7 linked regions of the Sus scrofa genome follow. The protein of the gene in region 5 interacts with the protein of the main gene of each other region in a pairwise test. Links are inferred from orthologs where the notes say so. Each region holds a gene or a part of one and is shown on either strand. Other genes may lie near its edges. The genes, in order: ADAMTSL4, HSPB7, FABP1, CASR, FLNA, RFLNA and KLHL12.

Region 1 (3,500 bases), on a different chromosome or scaffold from region 5:
CTGCTGGAAGCCAGCCCCCACCTCACACCTGGCCCAGTTCTCTTGGGAGCCTTCAGCTCGGTGAGTGTCTTGACCTTAGCACTCAAGTGAGACTGTGTTTCTTTGTCAGTCCCACCAGCCCCAGCCAGCCTCCGAGAAGCTCAAGGGGCCTGGGGGGGGGGGTCTGTCTTGCAGTTCACCCCTTGGGTCTGCTCGGCCCAGCTGGGCAGGTAAGAACTTCCCTCTTTGCAATCTCAGCCGAATATTTCGCCATTGTGATACTGAGCAAGGAGACTGGGTGTGTGCCTGCAGTACTTATTAGGAAATGAACACTGCCCACCTCCCCAAGCTCACGCCCCATCCTCCCTCACCAGACAGCGGCCAGCCACGCAGATGTCTAAGGCTCCAGGCTGACACAGGGTTCCGTCCTGGACCTTTTCAGTGTGACGGACATAGAAGCGAAAGCCACGGGGACGGCAGTTCAGTTCACAGCGCTGGGAACCCTGAACTAAGAGACAGGGTAGAAGGGTAGTTAGCTGGGGTCCCAGGAGGGGATGTTAACTAGGAAAGATCCCAGGGCCCTGAGAGCAGCTTGGCTTATATCAGCTACAGAGCGTCCTGAGGTTGCCAAGGTCACTGTGGATGAAGGAAATGCGACAATTCTGTCCTCTGAAAGGGCAGCTTGAGGGTCACACAAAAGTTGGTTCAGGAGTTCCCGCTGTGGCTCCATGGAACAAACCCCTAGTATCTATGAGGATGCGGGTTCTATCCCTGGCCTCACTCAGTGGGTCGGGGATCCAGGGGAGCCATGAGCTGTGGTATAGGTTGCAGACGTGGCTCGGATCCCAGGTTGCTGATCCCAGGTTGCTGTGGCTGTGGCGTAGGCTGGCAGCTATAGCTCCAATTCGACCCCTAGCCTGGGAACCTCCATAGGCCACACCTGCAGCCCTGAGAAGCAATAAATAAATAAATAAATATTTTAAAAGTTGGTTCAGATCAACTGAGGTTACTGAGACCAGAAAAAGGGTTGTGAACTCTGAGAACAGAGATGCTTGAAACCATGATTATGTGAGTTCACAGCTCAGGAGGGGTTGTCTTGATATCAAGGTGACAGGGCTTAAAATCAAATGGATGGCCACTTGGAAGAAAGTGATATAACCCTGTACAGGATCCATGGGGCGCCCGCACCCACCTTGTCACCACTGGACAGGATCGCTCTGCCCACACCCAGCTCATGGCGTGTCCACCCCATCTCCTTCCTCTCCCCAGAGGACACCAGCCAAAGGGCACCTCTGGATACATCCCTCTCCCAGACTGACCCCTCCGCTGACCATCTGTCCCCCCTCCGACAGCTGGGGCCCTGTCTGAAACCTCGCCCCCTTCTGGGCCCGTTCTGTCTCTATTCCCCAGCCCTGGGGAAAAGAACATGGCTCAGGAGAAATACAGAGCCTACAGAGGCGAACAAGAAGGGCTGAGTGTCTCGCCCGCCTCCTCCCCCAGCCTTAAGTCCCCCTCTCCGGGGGGGTGGGCTAGAAACCTCACCTTCGGTGAAGGGCTCCCACTGGTACAGCTGGCCCATGAACTCCTGGGAGTCAAAGGCTGCACACTGCAGGGCCCGGGGATCTGGCTGCTCAGGGGGGCAGGGCTGAGGTGGGGGATACAGAGGAGTCAAAGCTGGGGAGGAAAATGGGGGTGTGGGTCAGGGCTGGATTTGGGGGATAGGGAGGAAGGTCAGGTCTGTGGCAGAGCTCCAAGGCCCCTACCCCGAGGAGGCCGGATGCCAAGGCCCTTCTCCCTCAGGTCCAGCTCCGACAGGCAGAGAACCCAGACTCAAGGGCAGGGAAGCAGAACGGAAGTCTGGGAGGGGTCCAAAAAGAACTCACCGCTTGGCTGCAGGCTCTCAGCTGCTCACTCTCCCCAGAACATCTTGGGACAGGGCTACTGGGAGCAAAGAGACTCCAGAGAGAGCTGGAGTGAGGGCCGGTACTCAGCAGAGGCAACCAGCCATGGGGGTGGTGAGGGGCAGACTCGGTGAGGGACCTGAGCCGATCCCCCCCAGGTCTCCAGCGCTCCGGGCTCTGCTGGCCTCGGCCCGGAGGGACAGAAAGGAAAGGATGAGGGTGTCTCTCTGCCAGCTGGGGACTGGCCCCACCCTGGGAACCTGGCCTTCTTGGCTGAGGAGATGCGTGAAAGGAGCGCCCTTCTCCTGGGGGTGGTGGAGAAGAGGGCCCTGTGACTGAGGCCCGGGTACTGGGGTGGGGCCCTGTGGGGGCAGGCTCGGTTCTAGAGGGCACCTCTGTCTGAGCAGCTTCGGGACTTGGGGAGTCCGCTGGGGGGGACCGGGCAGGGGCAGACGGTGCTGTGGGAGGAAGTTCAGTTTGCGGGGTGTGGTTTGCAGAGGATGGCACTGCTCTTGGCATCAGGGATGGAAGGTCTGAGGTCTGCGAGAGCTCAGATCTGAGTGGTCTCCGCGGGTGCCTGCGGTTCCGATGGAGCGGCAAAGCAAAAGGCACTCTCCCATAGCCAAACATTCCTGGCTTGATGGGGTCTCGAACCCGGGACCTGAGAAGGTGTTTGCAGACACGGGGTCACAGAGCTGGTCATCTCCGACGCTGCCTCCCCAGTCTACTTCCTAGCACCAAAGATAAGCCTTTCTCAGCCTGGATCTTTTGCTCCACTAGCCTTCATCCCAGGCCCCGCCCCTTGCCCAAGGCCCCGCCTCTCCCCTCAAAGCGCCACCCCTCACCTCCTGGCTCCTTGAGTCTCCCGGGCCTCCTCTCTCCCTAGTTGAGAAGCAGGACCTCGAAAGGGGCCACCTCTTCCCCGAGGCGGTGGCCTGTACAGGGGAAGGGTTTCTCGGGAAGTCTGAGGTCTAGGGCCTTGACCCCGGGGGAGCAGGCCTTCTGGATGTCTTGGGGGCCGGCCCTGGTGGAGGTGAGCTGCAGGGAGCTGACACTTCCGGCTCCTGCGCTGCACCCCCACCCCGCAGGGCTGGGAGCAAGAGGCCCACTGGTCCCAAGGACCCCAGACACCCTCGGGGCCCTGGCTCTCCTCAGGGGGTGTCTGAAGTGAGTGTCCAGACAACACCTGTGTAGACCAAAAATTTAAACGAAATTAGAATGATTTTCGAGGGTACAGAATATCTGTACAGAATATCCAGTCCAAAGCTGGAGGTTGGGGCAGTTGTTACTGGCCCAAGGTCACATTCAGTGGCAGAGGTAGGACTTGAGGTTATTTGGCAAGGAGTTAGGGTGTTGGGGATGCTGGGAGGGCCAAGCGTGAGAGAAAGGGGCCATGGCTTGCCAGAGGCTTTGGAAAATGGAGACGTGGTCTGTCTGGAGACTGCAGGGCTGGGGGGGGACAGGGAGAGGAAGGTTCACAGCCTCTAGTCCCCTGCTCACCTCCTGATCCAGGCAGAGCTGAGGGAGGGACAGAAGCAGCATCAGACACAACCCGGGCCTGCAAACCAAAGGCAGGAGTGAAGGTGCTGTCTGACACCACCCCTCACCCCTAGTGGGCTC
Region 2 (4,230 bases), on a different chromosome or scaffold from region 5:
ACACAGGAAAACCACGCCACACTCAGGTGCCAGGCTGGGCAAACATTGCCAGTACGTCAGACATCTGGGCAGGACCCCCTGTGTGGGCTGAAGCCATCCGAGAGGCCTCCCTGGGGGAAGAGGAACCAGAGCTGATCTGGGGAGGAAGGGCAGGATTTGGAGAGAAGAGCAGAGGCCCCAGGAACCTCCCAGAATAGCCCTCCCCCGCTTCACCCCTTTGGTCCTGCATGATGTCAATCCTGGCTCCACTGGTCCGTGGGTGGGCACAGGAGGGGCTTCTCAGGGTGTTCCAGGCCAGCCAGGCTCCCTACATGAATATTCAGGTCACCCTGGCCTCCTGGAGAGTTTGGATCAAACACGTTTGTGTTCAAATCCCAGCTCTGCCCCTTACCCACGTGCAAGCCCCAGGCTCTCTGTGAGGCTCCATTTCCCTGTCTGTAAAATGGGAAGAAAGAACATCCCCTTCCCAAGAAGGGAGAGGATCAGATGAGGCCCACCTGGAGCCTGGGCCCAGCAGGCACCTCAGGAGTCACAGCTGGAACCACTGTCTTGTGGGGGCCTCCTTCCCCTCTCTCTGCTGAAGCCCTGCCCCCTGCCACCCCCCACATCTCCCCTGAGCTGGAGGTCAAGCGGACCATTCCTAGGAATGTAAGTTTTTAGGTTGCTACCAACCTTTACAGAACTCTCTGCTCTCCTCCCCTGGGTCCAGCCCAACCACCAGCCCTGCCTGAGCTTTCTCGTCTTGGGTCCGTTAATGTTTCCAGAGTCGGGGGGAGGGGGAGGGGGGACAATTATGAAATCTGGGTCCCCGGAGGGGCTGCCAGGGCAACAGTGGCACCTTCTCCACCCCCTCCCCCAACTCAGGGCTGTCTCCGTCCTTCCTAAGAGATGGCTGTGAACATCGCCTGTCCTGCAGGATGAACCCCTCACCTCCCACAGGGGTCCAGCAGGTGGGGGTCCTCTACGCCCCTCTGACCTCTTGACTTGCATTTCCTGTCCTCCCCAGAGTCAGAGGCTTGGGCCCCTCTGTCCTGATCACCTGCCACCCAGATCCCTCTCACCAAGGGCTAGAACTCTGGGGGAGACAGGACAGGAAAGAGAGAAAACCATGTCTTCAAGGAGCTTGCCGTCTGATGGGGGAGACAGAGACAGAAAGCCTGCACACACAAGGTCCCGGGGCAGGGGGGCAGGGGTCTGAGTGGCAAGGGAACAGCATGGGCCCCCACCTCGTTGCCCTGGGAGGCCCCCCATGCGGAGTTATCAGCCTGGAATGCTGGACTGTGAGCTCAGCCTCACAGGCAGCCTGGGCCGAACTGTCAGCAGGGCCGTCTCACTGGAGAAGATTTCCAGCTCCTCTGGGCCATGGAGAGGACTAAATTTAGCTGGTAGACAAGGGGCTGGCCCTGCGCCCAGGGACGGTCGGGCCTTATAAAGCACCGCCGGCCAGGGCCCCGCATGCTCCCCCAGAGCTGGCTGTCCGCACCCTCTCCTGTCCGCCCCTGCGCCCAGCCCGGGCCCGGCCGCCTGCCCGTGGATGAGCCACAGGACTTCCTCCACCTTCAGAGCGGAGAGAAGCTTCCATTCCTCCTCTTCTTCCTCCTCCTCCTCGTCCTCCTCGGCCTCCCACACCCTCCCGGCCCAGGACCCACCCATGGAGAAGGCCTTGAGCATGTTTTCCGAGGATTTTGGCAGCTTCATGCGGCCCCACTCAGAGCCCCTGGCCTTTCCAGGCAAGTGCTTGGGGGCGCTGTGGGGGAGGGGAGGCACACGGGGGAGGGGACACCTGCTCCAGGCCACCACCCCATGCAGCTGCGGCTGCTGAGCTGCTAGGAACAGGTGCTGCACAGCTGCAGGGCCACCAGGACAGATGTGGCCCCAGGCAGGCCTCCCAGGAAGCGCTCTGGCCTGGGGGTCAGCTAAGGTGCCAAGGGCCAAAGGCCCTGTGGCCAGGCCCTCTCTGGAGCCCCGGAGAGCTGCATGTGTTGGGGGGGCGGGCAAGGTGCATCCCCAGTCCAGGCCTGGGACGAGTGGCTATGGACAGTGTCATATACCGGTGCCGAGTAAGGCCCTTCCCCACCTTGGGAGAGGTGGCTTTCGAGAAATGAGGAGGGACGGCCAGGGCAGCTGAGGAGCCACAGTTGAGAGGGAGGTCAGGCCTGGGGGGCCGCCCCTTCCCCAAGGAGAAGGAGCCAGAAACCTTCCTCCTGGGTGCCAGCCTGCCCTGTGCTCAGCTCACAGCAGCCCTCCCCACAGCCCGCACCGGGGGGCCTGGCAACATCAAGACCCTGGGCGATGCCTACGAGTTTGCAGTGGACGTGAGTGACTTCTCACCTGAAGACATCATTGTCACCACCTCCAACAACCACATTGAGGTGCGAGCTGAGAAGGTGAGCCCGCCCCCTCCCCTAAGACTGGGGGCTCCGCACAGGTACCTTCTGTCCAGCATCCCCACTCTCATGTCCCATCCTGGGACCTTGCACCCTAACCAGTGCCCCCTAAAACTTCAGGACAAACTGGGGGCCTTGCTCCTGTAGCCACGGGGCCCCCTTTACTGCCGCTCTCTGCCTGGAGGCTTCCAGATCCTCCTTTAAATTTTATTTTATTTTTGAAGTGTAGCTGATTTACACTGTTGCATTCCCAGATCCTTTCTTCAGGAGCCCAGGGCAGCAGAAGAAGCCACAGGGGATGGGGGGCGGCGGGAGGAGGCAGAGGGTGGGGCACCTGAGGCTGGGAGGAGAGGGGAGGTGAGAGGAGGTGAGAGGTAAGAAGGGGAGGTGAGAGGAGGTGAGAAAGGGAGGTGAGAGATGAGGAGGTGAGAGGTGAGAAGAGGCAGGAGAGATGAGAAGGGGCAGTGAAAGATGAGAAGGGGAGGTGGAGTTCCCGTCGTGGCGCAGTGGTTAACGAGTCCAACTAGGAACCATGAGGTTGCGGGTTCGATCCCTGCCCTTGCTCAGTGGGTTAACGATCTGGCGTTGCCGTGAGCTGTGGTGTAGGTCTAAGATGCAGCTCAGATCCCACGTTGCTGTGGCTCAAAAAAAAAAAAAAAAAAAAGAGAGAGAGAGGGGGACGTAAGAGGAGGTGAGAGATGAGAAGGGGGGGTGAGAGGAGAGCTCTTCCCTCAGGTGTGTGGTCAGGTGGGGGGCTCACCTGGGCGGCTAGGGGGAAGGAGCTCCCCCATGGGACAGCCCTCAAGCCGTCTTCCCTCTTGGACCCCAGAATGGAGCTCAAGGCTAGGCAGCAGCCCTGCAGTTCAAGGTCACACACACTCCAAACCCCACAATTCTTCTGCCCATGGATCTCAGGGTCACTGTGTCACTAGGGCCTCTACGTCCTAACTCCCAGGAGACTTGCACCCTCGAGGAGGGTGTGGCCCTGGCTGAGGAGGGGGGCTGCCCCCAGCGGGTTAGAGCCACAGCTGCTCCTTAGAGAAGAGGGTAGGCCCAAAGCTACCCCACCGGACAGCCCAGCTTCTTTCTCCAGCATGGGAGGATGCCCTGCACCTCCATCGGGGAAGCCAGGGACTATGGGCACCAGGACCAGTGGGCAGCATGTGGCAGCCCTGCCACCCCCACCAGTGACTCAGCCGCCCCAGGCTCTTCTGGACACCATGTGCTGGCTGGGTCGTGGGGGAGGGGCTGCCAGCCCAGCCCCGGAGGTGGACACCAATGTGTCTGGGTATCCAGGAGGGCTCGGCTCTGCTCTGTGCCTTCTCCTGTCACACAGGAGCCCCAGATTCTGCCACCAAGCCTCCTCTCCTTCGGAGCTCCCCCACCAACCCCTTGCCTTTCCCCTGGGACCACTGGAGCGCCGCTGAGCATCTTTGCGCCCATCCTACCCTGGCCAGCCCCTAGGCAGGGCCTCTGCACCTAAGAGCAGAACCTCTCAGCACATGGGAGCCCAGCTGGGGTTAGACGGCGCAGCCGGGGCTGCGGCCTGTCGTGAGCAGTACAAGGGTGGGGGCCAGCCTGCCCTGACCCATCACCCCTTCCCCAGCTGGCAGCTGACGGCACCGTCATGAACACCTTTGCTCACAAGTGCCAACTGCCAGAGGATGTGGACCCCACATCGGTGACCTCGGCCCTGCGGGAGGACGGCAGCCTCACCATCCGGGCCCGGCGCCAACCACACACGGAGCACGTCCAGCAGACCTTCCGGACGGAGATCAAAATCTGAGGGCCCTCCCCTCCCCGGCCCTGCCCCCACCGCCCTCTCCTCTCCCCCACTGGGCTG
Region 3 (2,031 bases), on a different chromosome or scaffold from region 5:
TCCACTTCTGGCACCTTCTGCTAAGCTCCCCTACCAGCTCTCCTCTAGGAAAGAGACTTGTTCATTTGGTGGGTCAGTGCCTGTTCTTTTTGTTCATGTCCCCTGGAGAATGGGGTCACTGTGAGCATAGCTCCCCTTTGCCTGTCTAGTGTTCCTACTCCCCCCGCCCCCTCTTGCCCGGGAGTGACCCAACACACAGCACACCCTCTTGCTCCAGCTCCCTGCCATGTGCCTGACCGGCAAAGGTCATTCCACAGCTACTCTACAGACACACCCAGCCACATCATGTGTTCTTCATAGGGTCACCCAATGGACAGCCTGGGATCTGCTTTCAAGACGAGAATCACCCTTCAGACCTGACCCAGCAGGATGGAACATGCAGATCAACAAGGTTCACAAAAATAGAGGTGATAGGTGCTCAATAAATAGCACCATCAATGAAAAGCCATCATGAAGAAAAGACATCTTTTTGAAAAAGAAAGTTCACTTTATTGCATTAATTTTACATGATATAAGACTATGAAATGCGGACTTGTCTAAATTCTCTTGCTGATTCTCTTGAAGACAATGTCACCCAGTGTCATGGTCTGAAAGAAAAGAAATCATGAAACGTTCACCTGAGGTTGAATTGTAAAGGAAAATTAAGCCCCTCATATGCTAACACACAGTAAGTAGTGCATAATTTGCCTCCCAAAGCTGCGAAGACTATGGAAACATTAGATGCATTGGATGCATAGATTTTGGAGGTTTTTTCCATTATTTAAAAAAAAAATTTAGTTGATTTATAAAGTTTTGGAGTTTTTGAAGGATGCTCCTTTATCCCCCAGCCCCTCTCTCCTGCTGATCCTCTGGAATAAGACTGTGGCAATGATGAGGGAGTAGTGTCATCAGAGTAAAAAAGCAGCCTCTTAACCTCAACAGCAATGAAATGGAAAGGAAAGATCTATGTTTGACCCCTGATTCTGTAACTCATTAGCTGGATGACCTTGGACAAGTCAACTTGCCAATGAAATCCCCCATCCTGCCTCCCACGCAAGAGATGGGAGGCTTAGGAGCCATGGGCATATCAAAGGACATTGGCTTCCCTCACGTTCACCCCACCCCCCACCCCCAGCGCTAGGAGTCACAAGCTCTGGGCACCAACTTACACTGGTGATTATGTCACCGTTGAGTTCAGTCACAGACTTGATGCCTTTGAAAGTTGTCACCAGTTTATTGTCACCTTCCAACTGAACCACTGTCTGCAGGGGATAGAAGAAAGGAACTGTGAGGAAGGGTCTGCAAGAGGGTAAACCTCTTACCAGTGAGGTTGGCTTCCCTGTGTAGGTCTCTGATGATGGCAACCAAACCTCTCGGCTTTGTGTGACATGGCCCCTCCCTGTGCTCTGGCTCTGAATAGAAATGAGGGGCCTTAAGAACTAAAGAAAATCTGGAGTTCCCATTGTGGCGCAGCTGGAACGAACCCCACTAGTATCCATAAGGATATGAGTTCAATTCCTGACCTCGCTCAGTGGGTGTGGCTGTGGTGTAGGCCAGCAGCTACAGTTCCAATGTGACCCCTAGCCTGGGAACTTCCATATGACATGGGTACAGCACTAAAAAAAAAAAAATAATAATAATAATAATAAAGAACTAAAGAAAATGGCGGTGGTTCCTTTGTCAGGCTTTTCATTTATGGGATGTGATCTAGGTATCCACATAGGACCGCTAAGTGGTCTCAAAAGCAAACATTAGAATAAACTCTAGTAACCTTGCAATTCTCCAAGCAAATGGAGGGAGGGAGTAGCAAAATTCAAAATACTGGCCAGCTGGGAGGACACATATTTTTGGTTGGTATGAATTATTCATTCCACCATCTTTATCTTTCCTTATTGTGGTCTCTTATTCATGCACCCAGCAAGAGATAACGGAAACCCAGCAGGGAGAAGACACTGGCCAAGTTTAAAGCTTTGCCTCCATAAAGGGCCATTGGAAAAGGCCTGTGGTAAAACCCATCATGGCCTGCCCCTTACTGTGGGCGTGGAAGAAAAT
Region 4 (4,230 bases), on a different chromosome or scaffold from region 5:
CTGCTGTTTATTTCCTCTATGGCAAATATCATAGCTTGTAACCAGCGAAATCCACGGAAATTATACCTGGAAGAGAGAAGAAATGGGAGAAAGCAAGAGGCTTTCTGGTCAACTGCTTTAGAGTACAGACTGGGCAGAGCTGGGTTTGTACGTGGCTCTGTTACTCTGGTTTCATGACATTGTTTTTTTGAGACTTCAAGTCCTCTGTGTGAAATGGGGATAATGCTTACCTCAGGGGGTGGGCGAGAACATGAGATCATTATGCAGAAGTCTCAGTATGGTGCCTGACACACAGTCAGGGATCAATAATAACGAGGATTGTGGTTAGTAATAGAATGAGTAATTTGTATCTGCCTCGTCTAGCAAAGAATTTGAAGTAGCTGATATGAGGTACTTTAATAATAAAGTAATAGAGTTTTAAAAAGCAAAAAGGACTAGGGAAAATATAAATGGACTAGGATTTTACTATGTAGGAACCTAAGAATAACTTGAGATTTGCAGTCACCAATTTAAACCATGACATTCCTGGAGTTCGAAGGGGAAAGGGAAACAAACAAGCAAACAAACAAACATTCACGAAGGCTGTTCACACGCAGTCGTTACTCCTGGGTGGTAGGATGATGAGTTTTTAGACTGTGTGTTTCGATCTTGTTTATACTTTAAAAAAAAGAGCATGCACTGCTTTTCAAAGAACACAATTTTAAATAAAAATCAAGCTGATTAACAAAGAGAAATAGGGTCAGTGACATAGTTTTTACTCTTCCAGGACATAACATGTAGTGAGAGTTTGATTAATGTTCTGAATCAGTGTATCAGCGCCCAGAGAAGATACCTAACCACTCTGCAAATTCTCTCTTTGCATCCTGGGTTTCAGGACTTTCACTCAATGACAGGAGGAGAGAAATACAAGCTGTTATACTTCACTGTATCAGTTAGGTTCCTAAAGGCGCCATTTTCTCTTTGTCATTTTCTTCATGTTTCCTTTATTTATTTATTTGTTTTAAACCCGCAAAGTGGAGTTCCCACTGTGGCACAGCGGAAACGAATCCAACTAGGAACCATGAGGTTGCGTGTTCCATCCCTGGTCTCGCTCAGTGGGTTAAGGATCCGGCGTTGCTCTGAGCTGTGGTGTAGGTCACAGATGCAGCTTGGATCTGGCCTGCCTCTGGCATAGGCCCGGCCTCTACAGCTCTGATTAGACCCCTAGCCTGGGAACTTCCATATGCTGTAGATGCGGCCCTAAAAAATAGACAAAAATAAAAATAAAAATAATCCCACAAAGTCTTGAAGACAAATGACAGAATTTTTCGTTACATAAAACATCTATAAAGCTAAACTGATTTCCCTATCTTTCTTTAACATTACCAAGATAAATATATTATTTCACAGCAAGGCCTTGCTTGATCTCCAGGTATGTACGTGGCACTTGCACAACTCTGTGCAGCAGGGTATCACAAAGAGGGTATATGTCCACCTTGGTTATGTGGAGGCTATACACAGCATCAATGAAATTCTACCCTTAGCTTTTGTACATTCATAAAAAAAATGTGAAAATGTTATCTGATTTGTGAGCCCTCGTTAGAACCTGAGCAGAAATCTAGTTTTGTTGGAATGATCCTACTTTTCGTTTTCTTTTTCTAGCTATCAGGAGAAGTACTGGCTCCCTTCTGGAAGTTGCAAATCTCAAGAGAAAGTGCTCTTTTCGCTCAGAAAATGGGTCAGGACTTGGGGTGCAGTATTGGTCTCTGATGTTGAGATTGAGGGAGGCGATATATAGCCCCCTGTATTCTATGGAAGTCAGCTACTATTTGAAAGAATCGTGCCTAGTTTTAGATGCCACATTCTAAAAGAGTTGTAATAAATTGGGGAACATCGGATTGAGGGCAACCAGAATGGTGAGGCTCTGGAAATCATGTCATGAAATCATTTTTCAGAAAACAGACTATTTGGCCTGGAAAAGTAATAATTCGAGGGGACATGTTAGTTGTTTTCAAATGGCTGAAGAGAGTCCGGTGAGAGAGTTGGCTGGACTCTGTGTTTCTCCATCTCTGTTAGATGGATTCTGTGTTCGCAAGGGGATTTCTGCCTTCTATGAGATTTTCTAATGGGAGTGGTTCCAAAATGTCATGGGCTGTGTTTTGAAGATGCCCGGGTCATGCCAACCACTGAGGTTTCTTTCAACTTTAAAATCCTTAAAAAAAAAAAAAAAAAAAAAAGTGAGGCAGCCAGCACTCAGGTATTAATGACTGTTGGAGCACTTAAGGTCAATAGGAAATTTTATTACTCAGGTTTATAAAACCCACAACAAATATCCTTCTAGGTACTTAGTCTTCCATTAAGCAACACTGCCTCCCAGTGAACAATGATGACTCAGTTACCAAGGGACCGAGCAATAGACTACAGATTTTTCTACTCAGTGTCTTTGATGTTTTGGTTTTGGAAAAGTTTCTTTTAGAAAATTGAGGGGGAGAGGAAAAATAAGCTTCAGCAGGATTACCAATCAGCATTTTTTGAACAGAGAGAATGAGTTTTGCAAAAATTATTTGGGGTTTGGTACAGCTTTTCTCCAACCACCTAGAAGAGAAGAGAGTCTCTGCGGTGGTTCCTGCCCTTACCTGATACATTCCACAGACTCCGGCCTTGACTCTAGGTTCTGATCTTTGGCTGCTACTCCAAAATGAATAGGAAAGAGTCCCCCGAGGATAATGTCCCCTTTCTTCTGGGCTCGCTGGTCGGGCCCATATGCAGACGTACACCAAGTCAAAGCCAAGAGGATCCAACAGCAGCTGGAAAATGCCATAGTTCTGCTTTCCCTCCAGGGGGAGGACCAAGAGTGCAGGTGGTCTGGGGGCCCTGAGAACTTCCCCCGTTGCTGTGGCTCACTCCCTGTGGTGGGGGCACATGTCTGCAGAGCAATTAATAGCAGGACGGAACCGTGGTGTGTGAATTTCTATTTCTGCCTTCTTCATTGCAGGCTAGTAAGGTAGGTCGTTCTTGAGTCTTCAGAAGCCACATCATGTAGAGATTTCTTTAAAAAAAAAGACGAAAATGAATTCAACTAAGCCTGAATCCAATGTCTTTACGATGACTGCTACAGAAGTGGCTCAGAATTTCTAATTAGAGAGGCTAAGGGGTAGCAGGTGGGGAGGGCATCGCTTAGAGTCTCATTTTTTTTTTTTTTGCTTTTTAGGGCTGCACCTGTGGCATATGAAGATTTCCAGGCTAGGGGTTGAATCAGAGCTACAGCCGCCAGCCTACGCCACAGCCACAGAAACTTGGGATCCGAGCTGCGTCTGCAAACTACCCCACAGCTCACGGCAACGCCGGATCCTTAACCCACTGAGTGAGGCCAGGGATCAAACCTGAGTCTTTTTGGATGCTAGTCAGGTTCGGTAACCACTGGGCCACAATGGGAACTCCTCAGAAAACTTCTTAGTGGAACACCAGCTGAAGGAAGAACCCAAAGTCCTCATGGATCCTAGCGAGGTTCATTAACCACTGAGCAGCCACCATGAAGGGAATTCTTGAGTCTCATTTTCATAGTATAAGGCATAGAACTGGCTTAGTGGTAGCAGTTCCTTGTGTTATAATACTATTAATGCTATTTTATTTAGTGCATATATTTTTATGGAAAGTAGAAAATCAGTCACATTTAAATTTAAATTCTGACTTCAAACAAAAAATGTCAGAAAAGCTACTTATCCACTTACTTTTATTTATTATTGCAGTCCCCCCTTTTGGGGGCCTCCTCATTTCCAGATCTCTGGTTCCAGTTTGTAAAGGATACTCCATAAACCTCTGAGGAAGAGTTCTTATAAAGAATGCAGATGAGTTCCCGTCGTGGCTCAGTGGTTAATGAATCCGACTAGGAACCATGAGGTTGCGGGTTCGATCCCTGGCCTTGCTCAGTGGGTTAAGGATCCACCATTGCCCTGAGCTGTGGTGTAGGTCGCAGACACGGCTTGGATCCCGCGTTGCTATGGCTGTGGTGTAGGCCGGTGGCTACAGCTCCGATTCGACCCCTAGCCTGGGAACCTCCATATACCTCGGGAGCGGCCCAAGAAGTGGCAAAAAGACAAAGAATGCAGATAAATCAAGTGTCAGCTTATGTTCTCCCAGGCTCTCCAGCTGGATCTAGGGAATAGTCCTTCTCCTTTAGCAAGCTTATCCTACTAGGAACTCTCTGCTCTTCTCCCTTGATACTCTCTCACCCGCTCAGTGGGTCGATTG
Region 5 (4,121 bases):
GGACCACTTGGCCTCCAGCGGGCAAACCAAACAAGGGACTTTCCTTCCCCAAGGCCCCTGCGGGGGGTGGGGTGGCGCGCCCTCCCTGAGTCACGTGGGCTCCCCTCGGTCCCCCGCAGCCCCTCGCAGCCCCCTCCTCCCCCGAGCTCCGGCGCGTGGGGTTCTCTGGCCGCGCCCCAGCCCGCCGCCCAGGCAGCGGCAGCCGCAGCGGCGGGAAGGAGCCCGATCTTAAAGGCGAGCCTTCGGAGAGCGCGGGGCCGGGCCGGGCGCTGCTGCCAGCGCTTTGCGCGCGTGCGCCACGCCCGGGACACCCCGCAGCCGCCCCGCAGACCCCTTGCCCCAGCCCGCCTTCCCGCTCTGCGCGGCCCTGGCCTGCGCACCTGCGCCTGCCGGTCCCCACCGCCTCCCTCCCTCCCCGCTCCACCCGGGAGGAAATGGGGCACTGGGCCAGGAGGCCACCGGCACTCCAGGAGCCTGCGGCCTTGGAAGGGGCCCGGGCGTGCCAGTGGGCACTGGCAGAGGGCGCCGTGCGATGCGTGCACGCGTGCGGAGACGACGAGTGCCCGCCTGACCCGCCGGCCGCCCACCCGGGGCAGTCGGGGTTGCCTGTCCTGTCGGGATGGCGCCCTTCTGGACCCCGAGGGACCTGCTCAGGGGTTCCGAGAAGCCTTGGCAGGCTCTGAGCACCTGGGCTTCGTGGCCGTGTTAGTGCCGAGGGGGCCCCCAGGACAGGGGAGCCAGGGGACTGCAGGGGGCAAAGCACGGAAGGCTGCCAAGCCCTGCCCAGGAGCCAGGACTGTGTCTCCAGGCAATGGGGAGCTCTTTGCTCCAAATCAGTTTTCTGTAGATGCCTGGAGACTGTGGGAGGTTGCTGTGGGGAGACATAGATCGGCAAAAGCCCAGGGTCAAGAGGCCTGTCGGGGACATCCCTGCCACCCTCTTCAGTCAAGAGAAGCCAGCTTACTCATGGCTTCGTCTCCAGAGCAGACGTACTTCCTCCCCTCTGCAGGATGTTCCCTTCTTTACATCTTTTTTTCCGGAAAGGCATTTGTCTGTCCCTCCGGCTTGATTCTTAGATTGAGCCGCAGACTGGTAATAACTAAGTTATCTGCTAAAGACCAGTGGGAGAGGAGGCCCTGGGTCAGTCGGCGTGTCATGCCCAAATATGGTTGACTCTCGCACAGCCCTGGGCGTCTGCATCCAGCGGGGTGCAGTCCCAGCTGGCGTCCCCCCTGCCCTTCAGCCTGCTCGCTCAGGGGGCTGACTGTCACTGCGCTGGTTTTTCCTCACCAATGGTGGCGGTACGGGAGCCGGACGGCATTTTTCAGTCTGGGGCTTGCCTCTCTGACCACTTTTGGACACAACCTGCACAAAAGTCCACACCACGGTGTCTGGGAACTGAGATGGAAGTGGGAGGGAGGGCTCTAAGGGGACCTGTCCCTACCAGGCCCCATTCGAGAGGAGATGACATTTGTCCTGATCCTCCTGCCCTCCTGGAAAGCAAGTTCCCGAGGACAGAACTACATCAGGAATTGATTTTCACTCCATAAGTGCCATCCAATGGGGTCCTCCCCGTTAATTCCTTTGTCTTCAGAAAGCAGGGAAACTGAGTCAGAGGAACTGACCAGTAGCCAGCTCCAGCGGAAAGGGGGACGGGACCTGGGTACCCTGGCTTTTCCAGCACTAGGCTGTCCCTATTTGAGGGAGTTGGGTAGGGGGTACAGGGTTCTTGTTCCTAGGGGACAGAGTATCACCACCAGATGGCGCCCCATCCCAAAGCCCCCAGATCGGGCAGTCCTTGGAAACCAAAATCCAGCTCTTTCATATTTTCCCTTATTTGGAGTAGATTCTTGGATGTTAGACACACCCCGCCTCCCACCCCACTCCTGGCCCTCCGACCCCAGGCCAAAGCCTCCCACAGGGGCACTTGGGCTAGTGAAGAAAGCCAAGCAGTGGCAGCATCTGGGCTGCTCAGGCCCGTCCAGGTGTGGCAGGTGAGGGCCACACCTTGAACACACGCAGGAGGCTCTGCCAGCGGACTTCACCTACTCCTTCTGGACCCCGTGGCATGGGAATCTGGGGACGTTGCTGCTCCCATCCTGGCCGGTGGTGAACATTCAGCTCAGAGCCAACCTGGGACAGGGCCCGGCCTGGGAACCTGGCCGTTCGGAGGAGCCCCTGCTTCCCGTGCGGGCCACACCCCTGCCCGTCTGGAGGGGCACAGCAGCCCAGGAGCCATCCCCCCTGTCCCCAAGGCAGTTGGTGCCCCACAGACCAGTGTCAGCGAGGAACCCACTGTCGCCCTCCCAAGGGCCGCGCCGACTGCGACGTGGCCTTCCAGGTGGCCACTGACCCTCAGCCCACACAGTGTCCTGCCCTCGGGGCTCTTCCTTCCCAGACAGTCCCGCCGCGGCCAGCTCATGGGTACCCACGGGGGCCCATCGCCTGCCAAAGGCTCAGCCACCCTCTCTCGGGGACACCCGTGCCCTTGGGCTCCCACACCCCTGCGTAGACGCAGTCACCGCGCGGACTAGGGGAGGCAGCACCTGGCCCTGGCCCGGGTGTGCGCCGGCGCCCGCGTCCTTGGAGCTCTCCGCCCGCCTGCGCCACCCCTGCCCTCGCTCCGCGAGCAGCTCGGCGACCGTCGCGTTCGGTGCCCGCCGCCGGGGCCTCACCTGCTGTCCCTGCGGGCGGGCGGCGACCGCGGGGTGGCGCCTGGCCGGTCTTAGAGCCCGCGCTGGGCGCCCGGGGCTCCACTGGCGTCCGCTGCGCGCCGTGCGCGCCTCCACGCGAAGGGGCCGCCGCCGCCCGCCTTCTTGTTGGCCGCACCCCCGCCCGCGCCCGGCCCGGCCCGGCCCGGCCCGGCGAGAAAGCCTTAATTGGTAAAATCGCCCAGGAGCGGGGAGGGGGGCGCGGGGGCGCGCCATGAGCTCAAGCGCCCGGGCCGCTGGCGACGCCCCCCCACCCCCGATGAGCTCAGCGTCCCGCGAGGGGGGGCTCACCTCGAGAGCCCAAGGGGTCCTCAGGGCCCACGTCTCAGCCCAGCAGCCAAGGCCACCTCCTCCAGGGAGCCACCCACCGTCACGGCCCCCTGCCTTTGCCCCAAGCCTGGGCTGGTGGGGTGGGGCCAGGCCATCGCAGGTGTTCCCCTGCCACCCGAAAATCCAATCCGCAGTGGGGCAGGGACCCGAGCCCCACAGCGAGCAAGCGTTTCGGCTGCCACTGATTTGGCCCCTACTGGGTGCCAGGCCTGGCCTGGAACTGAATTCTCGGGAGCAGGGTTAGGTACAGCCCTGCGACCGGGTGGGCACAGCCACGCCCTGGCACTGCCAGCTCCCTCTTCCTCTTCTCCGTACCCATTTCCTGGTAGCTTCATATTCAGCTCAAATGTCTCTTCCTCGGGGAGGGTCACATAAAGCAGTGTCTTAACAAATTTTGCCCACAACCCCCAATAAGAACTACATTTTGTGTCCTGAGCCAGGACTTGCCCGCGCACCCCCAGAGTGACACATAACTGAAAGCAATGTCTCACAAAGCGAGACTCTCCCTACCACCAGAAAAGCACTGAAATTTTCTATTCTATTCTACCTCATTAACAGAAAGAAAAGAAGGAACGGAAGAAGGGAAGCAAAAACGGAGACGGAGGAAAGAAGAGGGAGGGAGGAAGGAGTCTGGTTCCACCTGCTAAAGGACTTGGGTGATCCACTGCTCAAAGCTAGCAGGAAGGCGCGGATTGCCTTCCAGGCCTCCCGGCATCCACTGCTGCCTTTCCCGGCTCTGCCGGCGATGACCTTTCCACCTTGACCCAAGCTGGGATCTCGAGCAGTGGTCTCTGTCTCTCCCCCCTCCGCCTAGTGGGACCGCCCTGTCCCCCCACCCCCGCCAGCTCGAGGCAGCGGGTTATCCTCATTTGATAGATGAGGAGCCTGAGTTTAGGTCCATGAAGTGGCTGTGTTGGAGTTCACGGCCAAGGCTGTCCCTTCAAAGAGGGAAACCCACCTGCTGTGGGCATTGCAATCAGAACCAGGGGTACAGTAAGTCGGTAGCAGGAAGGAAGTGGTGGCCGGATGGTTGGAGCTCAGAATCCCCATCTCTGTTTTAATCCTCTTTACACCCCCCCC
Region 6 (3,500 bases), on a different chromosome or scaffold from region 5:
TCCGACAGAGGCTGCCAAGCCACGGCTCTGGGTGTTCAGCTGCACACAGTTCAAAGTCCGGCTCCGGAAACAGCCCTCTCCAGGAGCATGTGGTGGTGCCTGGATGACACCCCTCTGCCCTCACATGCAGCCTGGGAGCTGGGGCAGCGGGGTGGGGGGCCCAGGTGCTAAAGAGCACCCACCTCCAGCCAAGGCTGGGACACCTCCCTCCTGCCAGCACTCAGGGTGTCCCCCGCTTCAAGGGCAGCCAAGGACACACGTCTCCTTCTCTCCCTGCCCATGTCTCCTCTCCCTGCCCATCGGGACAGCCACTGCCTACCCACCAGGTGCTCCTCGTGGGCCAGCAGCCAGGCCCCCGCTGCCTCATGCTGTGTAGGTGCTAATAAGATAGTTGTGTTGATTAGTTGGCCATGCAGACCAGACAGGATGCTGCCGGGGGAGCGGGCCAGGCAGTCGGCCAGGCCTCCCACCTCCCTCCGGCCCCAGCTTCCGGCCCACCGATCGTGATTGCAGAGTCCGTCCTCCGGCAGCAGGGCTGGCCACCCATCAGAGCGCGGCAGGGCCCAGGAGGCTGGGTCCAGGGCACTGGCACAGCTGCAGCTGCACGCTGGCCGTGAACCAGCGGCGGGGCCGGCCCAGGCTGAGGTGCAGGGTGGTGCGGAAGGAGCTGCTGGCGTGCTTGGGGAAGATGATGGTGGTGCTGCGGAAGTGCAGCGCGCGGGGCCGGGGCTCCAGGGTCAGCTGGCTGCGGTAGCTGCGCCAAGTGCAGTTGGGCGCTGCCACGATCGTCTCGCTGTAGGCGGTGACCGTGGGCACCGGAGCATAGAAGACCTTGTCCCGGAAGTGCTTCTCTGAGGCATACTTGACCTCCGAGTTGCAGCTGAGGAGGGCGGGAGGATGCGGGTGAGCCCAGGACCCCCACGTGAACAACATGGACCGCCCAGGCTCTTCGGAAATGCCAAGGTCAAAAGGACAAAGAAGGGCTGAGGGACCGAGCCGGCCTGGAGGAGACTCAAGAGGCATGATGACTAAGTGCCACTCGTGACCCTGGCTGGATCCTGAACTGGCATAAAAATAGGCCCTAAAAGGACATTTGGGGGCCATGGGTGGAATCTGACTGGGCAGTGGTGGTGTTTGCACTTTAGCTGTCCCAGTTTTGGCAAGTGGACTGTCATTATGGGAGAGGATGTCCCTGTTCTTAGGAAGGACACCAGCTGGAGTATTTCAGGGTTCAAGGTCAGCGTGTCACCAACATCCCAAATGGTTCAGAAAAAAATGTTTCGTGTCTGGAGAATGAGATCGCGAGCAAATATTCAAGCCAACAGGGCAAGACGAGAAGAACCAATGAATCTATTTTATGGGAGGTCCCTTGTATTCTTTTTTGTTGTTGTTGTTTTTGTTTTTGTTTTTTAGGGTCGTACCCATGGCATTTGTAAGTTCCCAGGCCGGGGGCCAAATCAAAGCTGCAGCTTCAGGCCTACGCCACAGACACAGCAATGTGGTATCCACGACATGTCTGCAGCCTACACCACAGCTCGTGGCAACGCTGGATCCTTAACCCACTGACCGAGGCCAAGGATCAAACCCGAGTCCTCATGGATACTAGCCGGGTTTGTAACCTGCTGAGCCACAACGGGAACTCTGTTCCTTGTACTCTTCCTGTGATTTTTCCATAAATTTGAAATTTTATCAAAATAAATTTCTCCCAAAGTAGCCTCAGCACCTCAAGATAAGTGACCCACTCCCGAGGGACCTACCGCGCCTTGTCCCCCAGCTCTGCTCCCAGAGAACTGCACTGGAAGGAAGAGCTCCAGGGAGGGGGCGGGGACTTCACCTGTCCCATCCTGACCGCACCCTGCAGGTGATCCATCTGGGAAGGGAAGCCGTGGTCCTCAGGGCCCAGGCAGCTCTTGCCACTCCTGCTGGGACCTCTGATAATAAAAACTAAAAAGGAGAGCTTGTTGGGAAGAGAAACCTATAAAGTGGACCTGTTTTTTTCCGGGGACCATATCCAGAGCCAGAGGAGCAGGAGGCAGTGCGCGTCACCTCCTGGCTGCCCAGGATGACATGGACAAATCCATCCTGAGAGCCCCGTGGGTACGCGGGTGAGACCCAAAGACCCGAGACTCCATCTTCTGGAAGCCTGACCCCCAGAAGGCTTCTCAGGAGGGCAGATGGCTGGAGGAAAGCTGTGGATGGGAAACGCCTGAACACAGAAGGCCAGGTGCCACCTGAGATGCCTCCACGTGGGAGGGCACCTAATACACAAGTGGGCTCCTTGGGAGATAAAGGTGCGAAATTACAGTCACCTGGATGCAGTGTTCACACACTCTGAGGGAAACACTGAGTGGGAAAGAGGGTCCTGGTTTGCCCATAGAGTTTGGTTACAGATCCCTAAAAACCTGGCAGGACGGGAGGGGAGAGGGAGTTGCATTAGGTGTGTGAGGGGTTATGTTGATTGTTTTCCAAACTCTCTGGGTGATTGGATTTGAAATAAAAATCAGGAGTTTCCTGATGGCTCTGCAGGTTAAGGATTTAGCATTGTCACTGCTGTGGCTCAGGCCACTGCTATGGTGTGGGTTCGATCCCTGGCCCTGGGACTTCCAGGTGCCTCAGGCACAGTCAAAAAAAAAAAAAAAAAAAAGTAAAATAATAAAATTAAATCAGCCCGGTTGGAGGTGAAGGTTAGTGTGCAAATAAATGGCCGAATGTGAGCCTGGGACGGGGGATGGGGGACAGGGGACAGGGAAGGCTGCCTGGGAACAGAGTCTCTTCGAATCATGGCTGTGCCTCCTCAGGGTGCGGTGCCCAGAGGGGCTGCCTAAGGGAGGGGAGCCCCCTAGCCTGGCCTCCCCTACCCTCTAGGGGGTCAGGACCAGCCCCTGCCCCACCCCCACCCGGCCAAGCAGCCCCACTCACCGGATCTCGTGTGTGGGTTCAGGGTTCACTTCGATGCTCTCCCCAAAGAACACAGGCAGCATCCGGGGCCTCATCTCTCGAGCCAGGGCACTTGGGGGGAGGGCAGGGGGCTATGGGGAGAGTCAGGGACACAGGGTCACAAGAGCAGCCTTTCACCACTGCAGCCTCAGCTCTCTGCCGGGCAAAAGGGTCACCCTGCACCCTCCAGCCCCAGCTTAGTCTGCTTTGTGGGAACCATCAAGAAGCCCACCCCAGCAGTTCCCACTGTGGTGCAACAGGATCAGTGGCATCTCCGCAGAACCCGGACACAGGTTCGATCCCTAGTCCAGCACAGTGGGTTAAAGGATCTGGCACTGACAGTGTAGGTTGCAATTTCAGCTCAGATCTGATCCCCGGCCTGGGAAACTCCATATGCCATGGAGCGGCCAAAAAAGAAAACGGAGGAAAAAAAAGAAAAGAAAAAATAAATAAATAAATAAAAAAGCCCATGCCTGTATCCTTCTGTGGAATCCAAGCACTCAGATGCCTATGGCGCCCCACCATGCCTGCCCCCCAGTTCCCAGGCATCGCAATAAGGGGAC
Region 7 (3,500 bases), on a different chromosome or scaffold from region 5:
GGGACTCACCTCGGCATCTATGACGTCCGTGATGTACCTGGGGGTCAGCAGGGGCATGCGCACGTACTGCAGCAGGTCCGGCAGGCACTCCTCCCGCTCCCTCTTGGCGTGCTTCACCCAGTTGATGACGGCCTCGAAGACCGGCTCTTCAGAATCCACCTGTGAGCGTGCAGGACCATCAGGGCCTCCTCCACCCTTCCTGTCGTCTCAAGTCTCAACAAGTAACCCCGCCGACCTTCTCGTTCCTTCCCGCCCCGCCACTTCCCATCTTCCAGAAACAGCCAGGCTCTTGGGAAAACAAATTCTTTCAGACACAACTTGCTAGTATCATGAAAAAGGTTATAATCAAATTGGGTAAAAAAAAAAATCTAAGAGCAATAGTACATAATAGACAATCAGTCACAAATCAGCTTTTATGTCAGAATTTTCCCCATTCTTGATATTGTTTTTTCTGGTCATTTCTGAAGCTTTAGGAGGAGGAGGGGGAATCTGTTGCCCCCAAACCGGCTTTTTTTTTTTTTTTTTGGTCCTTTTAGCACCGCACCCAAGGCATATGGAGGTTCTCAGGCTAGGGGTCTAATTGGAGCTGTTGCCACCGTCCTACACCACAGCCCACAGCAATGCCGGATCCTTAACCCACTGAGTGAGGCCAGGGACCGAACCTGCAACCTCATGGTTCCTAGTCGGATTCGTTTTTGTTGCGTCACAATGGGAACTCCAAGACTGGCTCTTAAAATAACTTTTATTTGCAGGTGTTGGCTAAGGACCTTCAGGCTTGCTCCCCAACTCCTCAGGCAAGCCTGTGAAGCAGGAACTTCCCTCTGACACAGTAGGCAATGCTCAGTCCTCCAAGTGCCATCAACTGGTATTTGAGCTACTCTGGATTAGGCACGTGCTGTCTGTGATGATATACGTCATTAATCATTTGGGGAACTTAGGTCTAAGCTGCATTCCACAGATGGGTAAGGCAGACACACCCTAAAACACCCATACGCCCCCAGAAGAGCACCACTTAGGATAACACCTACGACCTCCCCGAGGCCCACACCTCAAAAACAGGCCTGTGTCTCTCCCGCCAGCCCTGGAGTGTGTCTGCTCTGAGAGCTGCCCTTCAGAGGGTCTCAGGGCCCAGACACAGAAACCATTCTGTGGACTTTTCTCAAGAACTGAAAACACGGAACTGTTCCAGAATATTCACTCATTCGATGGATTTACTAAACATCTACTAAGTGCCAGGAATTGTGCTGGGTGCTAATTATACAATGGTGAGCAAATCAGACATGAACCTTTCTCTTAAACAGAGAGACAATTGTTACATCAGAAAAACAAACATCCCCACTTTGTCATGATATACGTACAGGAAAAGCACAGGGGTTCTGAGACAGAATAACGTGAGACTTCTTCATTGAGCTTAATGGGTCGGGGAAAGCCTCCCTGCAGAAGTGATAGATTTAAATCCGCTGGGTGAGTAGGGATTAGCCACAGGGAATAAGAGAGTTCTCCATGGCAGACAGAAAGCACATGCAAAGCCCTATTACTGCACAATCCAATATAGGAGCTGTGAGCCACATGCGTGGCTATTCGCATTCACACTAAGTAAAATTCAGCTTCTCACTCACACTGGCCACATTTCAAGTGCTCAGTAGCCACATGTGGCTAGAGGCCACTGACCCATTCCGTCTTCACAGAGCATTCTACTGGACAGCTTGGGAAATAAGAGGCTAGTGCGACAGTGAAGGAAGGATGGTACAAAAAAGATGACGCTGGAGAAATAAACAGAGCATCAGAGGACTGGATTTTACTCTAAGAGCAGCTGGAAGCCATTAAAGGCTTCAAGCAGGCCTCAAATATGATCACAGCAGTGTTTTGTAAAGATAACTCTGACAACCACGGGTAGAATGGTTTAGAAGGGCCAAGCGCCAGGAGACCAGTTAGAAGCCACTCTGATCCATTAGGCAAAAGGATCTGATGCTTACACTATGGCAGTGGTGACAGAAATTTGAGAGGTTAAACTAACCCAGACTGCTGGTGGATGAAATGCAGGCAAGGGTGCAGAAGGGGGTCCATGGCGTTTTAAACAAACATCTGTTAAAGACAAGGACGACGCGCTAACAGTTCTAAACATCTGCATGCTAGACTCTGTCACATTCTAGGTTTAAATTAGACATACCAATTTAAAATGCTCTCCCCCCCTCCAGAAGTTCACCCACTGGTGGTTCAGCAGGTTAACCATCTGGCACTGTCACTGCTGTGGTGTGAGTTCAATCCCTGGTCTGGGAACTCTTGCATGCTGCAGTCGAGGCCAAAAACAAGGGAGGGGGATTTCAATCCTGAGCAGAGGTCCTTGATCTTTTTTTTTTTTTTTTTTTTGTCTTTTTGCCTTTTCTAGGGCTGCACCTGCGGCATATGGGGGTTCCCAGGCTAGGGGTCTAATTGGAGCTGTAGGTGCTGGCCTACACCACAGCCACAGCAACTCGGGATCTGAGCCGTGTCTGCAACCTACACCACAGTTCACGGCAACGCTGGATCCTTAACCCACTGAGCAAGGCCAGGGGCCGAACCCGCAACCTCATGGTTCCTAGTCAGATTCGTTAGCCACTGTGCCACGATGGGAACTCCCTTGATCTTTCCGAAGACAGGATAAACTAGAATTGCAGAGAGCTCAACCGGGAGGAAAATCCCTCAATGTTAATGCTTCACTGTTGAGAGAAATTTCCCCATAATAAATTTTCACAGAGAGAATTCTTTTATGCACCAAGCACTGTCACTCTTATTTAAGGCTCAGAACAGCCTGCGTAGTGAGTACAACTCTTACCTACACTTTATGCAAGAGAAACTGAGGATGGGTGGTTAGGTATCGTCACCTAGCCAAACCTAAACGCCAGTGCGATTCTGAAGCCCACGTTATTTTTTGTTTATTTTATTGGCTGTGCCCACTGCATATGGAAGCTGTGGGGCCAGGGACCAAACCTGCACCACAGCTGTAACCAGAGCCACAGCAATGGCAACGCCAGATCCTTAACCTGCTGAGCCACAAGGGAACTCTTCTAAAGCCCATGTTGTCTTAAATAATATGACTTACTGTTTCCCACTGTTTTAAGTACTACTGAGAGGCAGTGTCAGCAAGAGAGTCAGACATCTAGCTCCTACTCTGGCTGGTATATGAAAGAGGGAACAAATGCCATGTGCTGGAAGAAAGCAAAGGCCAGTCTCACCAGACACTTAAGAAAAACTATACAACAGAGTTCATCTCAGCTTCTGAATAGGTCAGTTATCTGCCCTCCCTGTTCCAACTAGTGTTATCCCAAAGTCTACACATTTTAAAATAAATGGCTGCTGCGATCTTGGTTAAATAGAAACAAACTAATGAGGGAGTTCCTGCTGTGGCACAGTGGGTTATGGATCTAACTGCTGTGGTTCCGGCTGCTGCAGAGTCTGGGAATCAATCCCTGGCCTGGTGCAGTGGGTTAAAGGTCCAGTGTCCAGTTCAGTTGCCTGTT

Evidence for each region.
Region 1: the proteins of FLNA (region 5) and ADAMTSL4 interact in binary tests that used the Homo sapiens proteins (3 or more experiments, as listed by UniProt). The link is inferred for Sus scrofa from reciprocal best matches to the Homo sapiens genes FLNA and ADAMTSL4.
Region 2: the proteins of FLNA (region 5) and HSPB7 interact in binary tests that used the Homo sapiens proteins (3 or more experiments, as listed by UniProt). The two-hybrid records come from large-scale screens. The link is inferred for Sus scrofa from reciprocal best matches to the Homo sapiens genes FLNA and HSPB7.
Region 3: the proteins of FLNA (region 5) and FABP1 interact in binary tests that used the Homo sapiens proteins (3 or more experiments, as listed by UniProt). The two-hybrid records come from large-scale screens. The link is inferred for Sus scrofa from reciprocal best matches to the Homo sapiens genes FLNA and FABP1.
Region 4: the proteins of FLNA (region 5) and CASR interact in a two-hybrid assay, tested with the Homo sapiens proteins (2 studies listed by BioGRID). The link is inferred for Sus scrofa from reciprocal best matches to the Homo sapiens genes FLNA and CASR.
Region 6: the proteins of FLNA (region 5) and RFLNA interact in a two-hybrid assay, tested with the Homo sapiens proteins (2 studies listed by BioGRID). The two-hybrid records come from large-scale screens. The link is inferred for Sus scrofa from reciprocal best matches to the Homo sapiens genes FLNA and RFLNA.
Region 7: the proteins of FLNA (region 5) and KLHL12 interact in binary tests that used the Homo sapiens proteins (3 or more experiments, as listed by UniProt). The two-hybrid records come from large-scale screens. The link is inferred for Sus scrofa from reciprocal best matches to the Homo sapiens genes FLNA and KLHL12.

The regions. Positions count from the first base shown.
Region 1 is NC_010446.5:98,582,756-98,586,255, forward strand, and holds part of ADAMTSL4 (ADAMTS-like protein 4), read right to left. Parts: intron 3,439-3,500; coding exon 3,381-3,438; intron 3,067-3,380; coding exon 2,726-3,066; intron 2,542-2,725; coding exon 1,863-2,541; intron 1,625-1,862; coding exon 1,522-1,624; intron 488-1,521; coding exon 351-487; intron 1-350. UniProt on the Homo sapiens protein: Positive regulation of apoptosis. May facilitate FBN1 microfibril biogenesis.
Region 2 is NC_010448.4:75,172,119-75,176,348, reverse strand, and holds the start of HSPB7 (heat shock protein beta-7), read left to right. Parts: upstream 1-1,430; 5' UTR 1,431-1,534; coding exon 1,535-1,730; intron 1,731-2,253; coding exon 2,254-2,387; intron 2,388-3,993; coding exon 3,994-4,173; 3' UTR 4,174-4,230.
Region 3 is NC_010445.4:57,853,400-57,855,430, reverse strand, and holds the end of FABP1 (fatty acid-binding protein, liver), read right to left. Parts: exon of another isoform or gene 1,242-2,031; coding exon 1,149-1,241; intron 588-1,148; coding exon 537-587; 3' UTR 501-536; downstream 1-500.
Region 4 is NC_010455.5:138,305,842-138,310,071, forward strand, and holds the start of CASR (extracellular calcium-sensing receptor precursor), read right to left. Parts: upstream 2,801-4,230; coding exon 2,616-2,800; intron 67-2,615; coding exon 1-66. UniProt on the Homo sapiens protein: G-protein-coupled receptor that senses changes in the extracellular concentration of calcium ions and plays a key role in maintaining calcium homeostasis.
Region 5 is NC_010461.5:124,888,831-124,892,951, reverse strand, and holds the start of FLNA (filamin-A), read right to left. Parts: upstream 2,801-4,121; 5' UTR 2,676-2,800; intron 1,112-2,675; exon of another isoform or gene 965-1,111; intron 30-964; exon of another isoform or gene 1-29. UniProt on the Homo sapiens protein: Promotes orthogonal branching of actin filaments and links actin filaments to membrane glycoproteins. Anchors various transmembrane proteins to the actin cytoskeleton and serves as a scaffold for a wide range of cytoplasmic signaling proteins.
Region 6 is NC_010456.5:28,824,282-28,827,781, forward strand, and holds part of RFLNA (refilin-A), read right to left. Parts: intron 3,030-3,500; coding exon 2,920-3,029; intron 881-2,919; coding exon 547-880; 3' UTR 1-546. UniProt on the Homo sapiens protein: Involved in the regulation of the perinuclear actin network and nuclear shape through interaction with filamins. Plays an essential role in actin cytoskeleton formation in developing cartilaginous cells.
Region 7 is NC_010452.4:24,885,982-24,889,481, forward strand, and holds part of KLHL12 (kelch-like protein 12), read right to left. Parts: intron 160-3,500; coding exon 10-159; intron 1-9. UniProt on the Homo sapiens protein: Substrate-specific adapter of a BCR (BTB-CUL3-RBX1) E3 ubiquitin ligase complex that acts as a negative regulator of Wnt signaling pathway and ER-Golgi transport.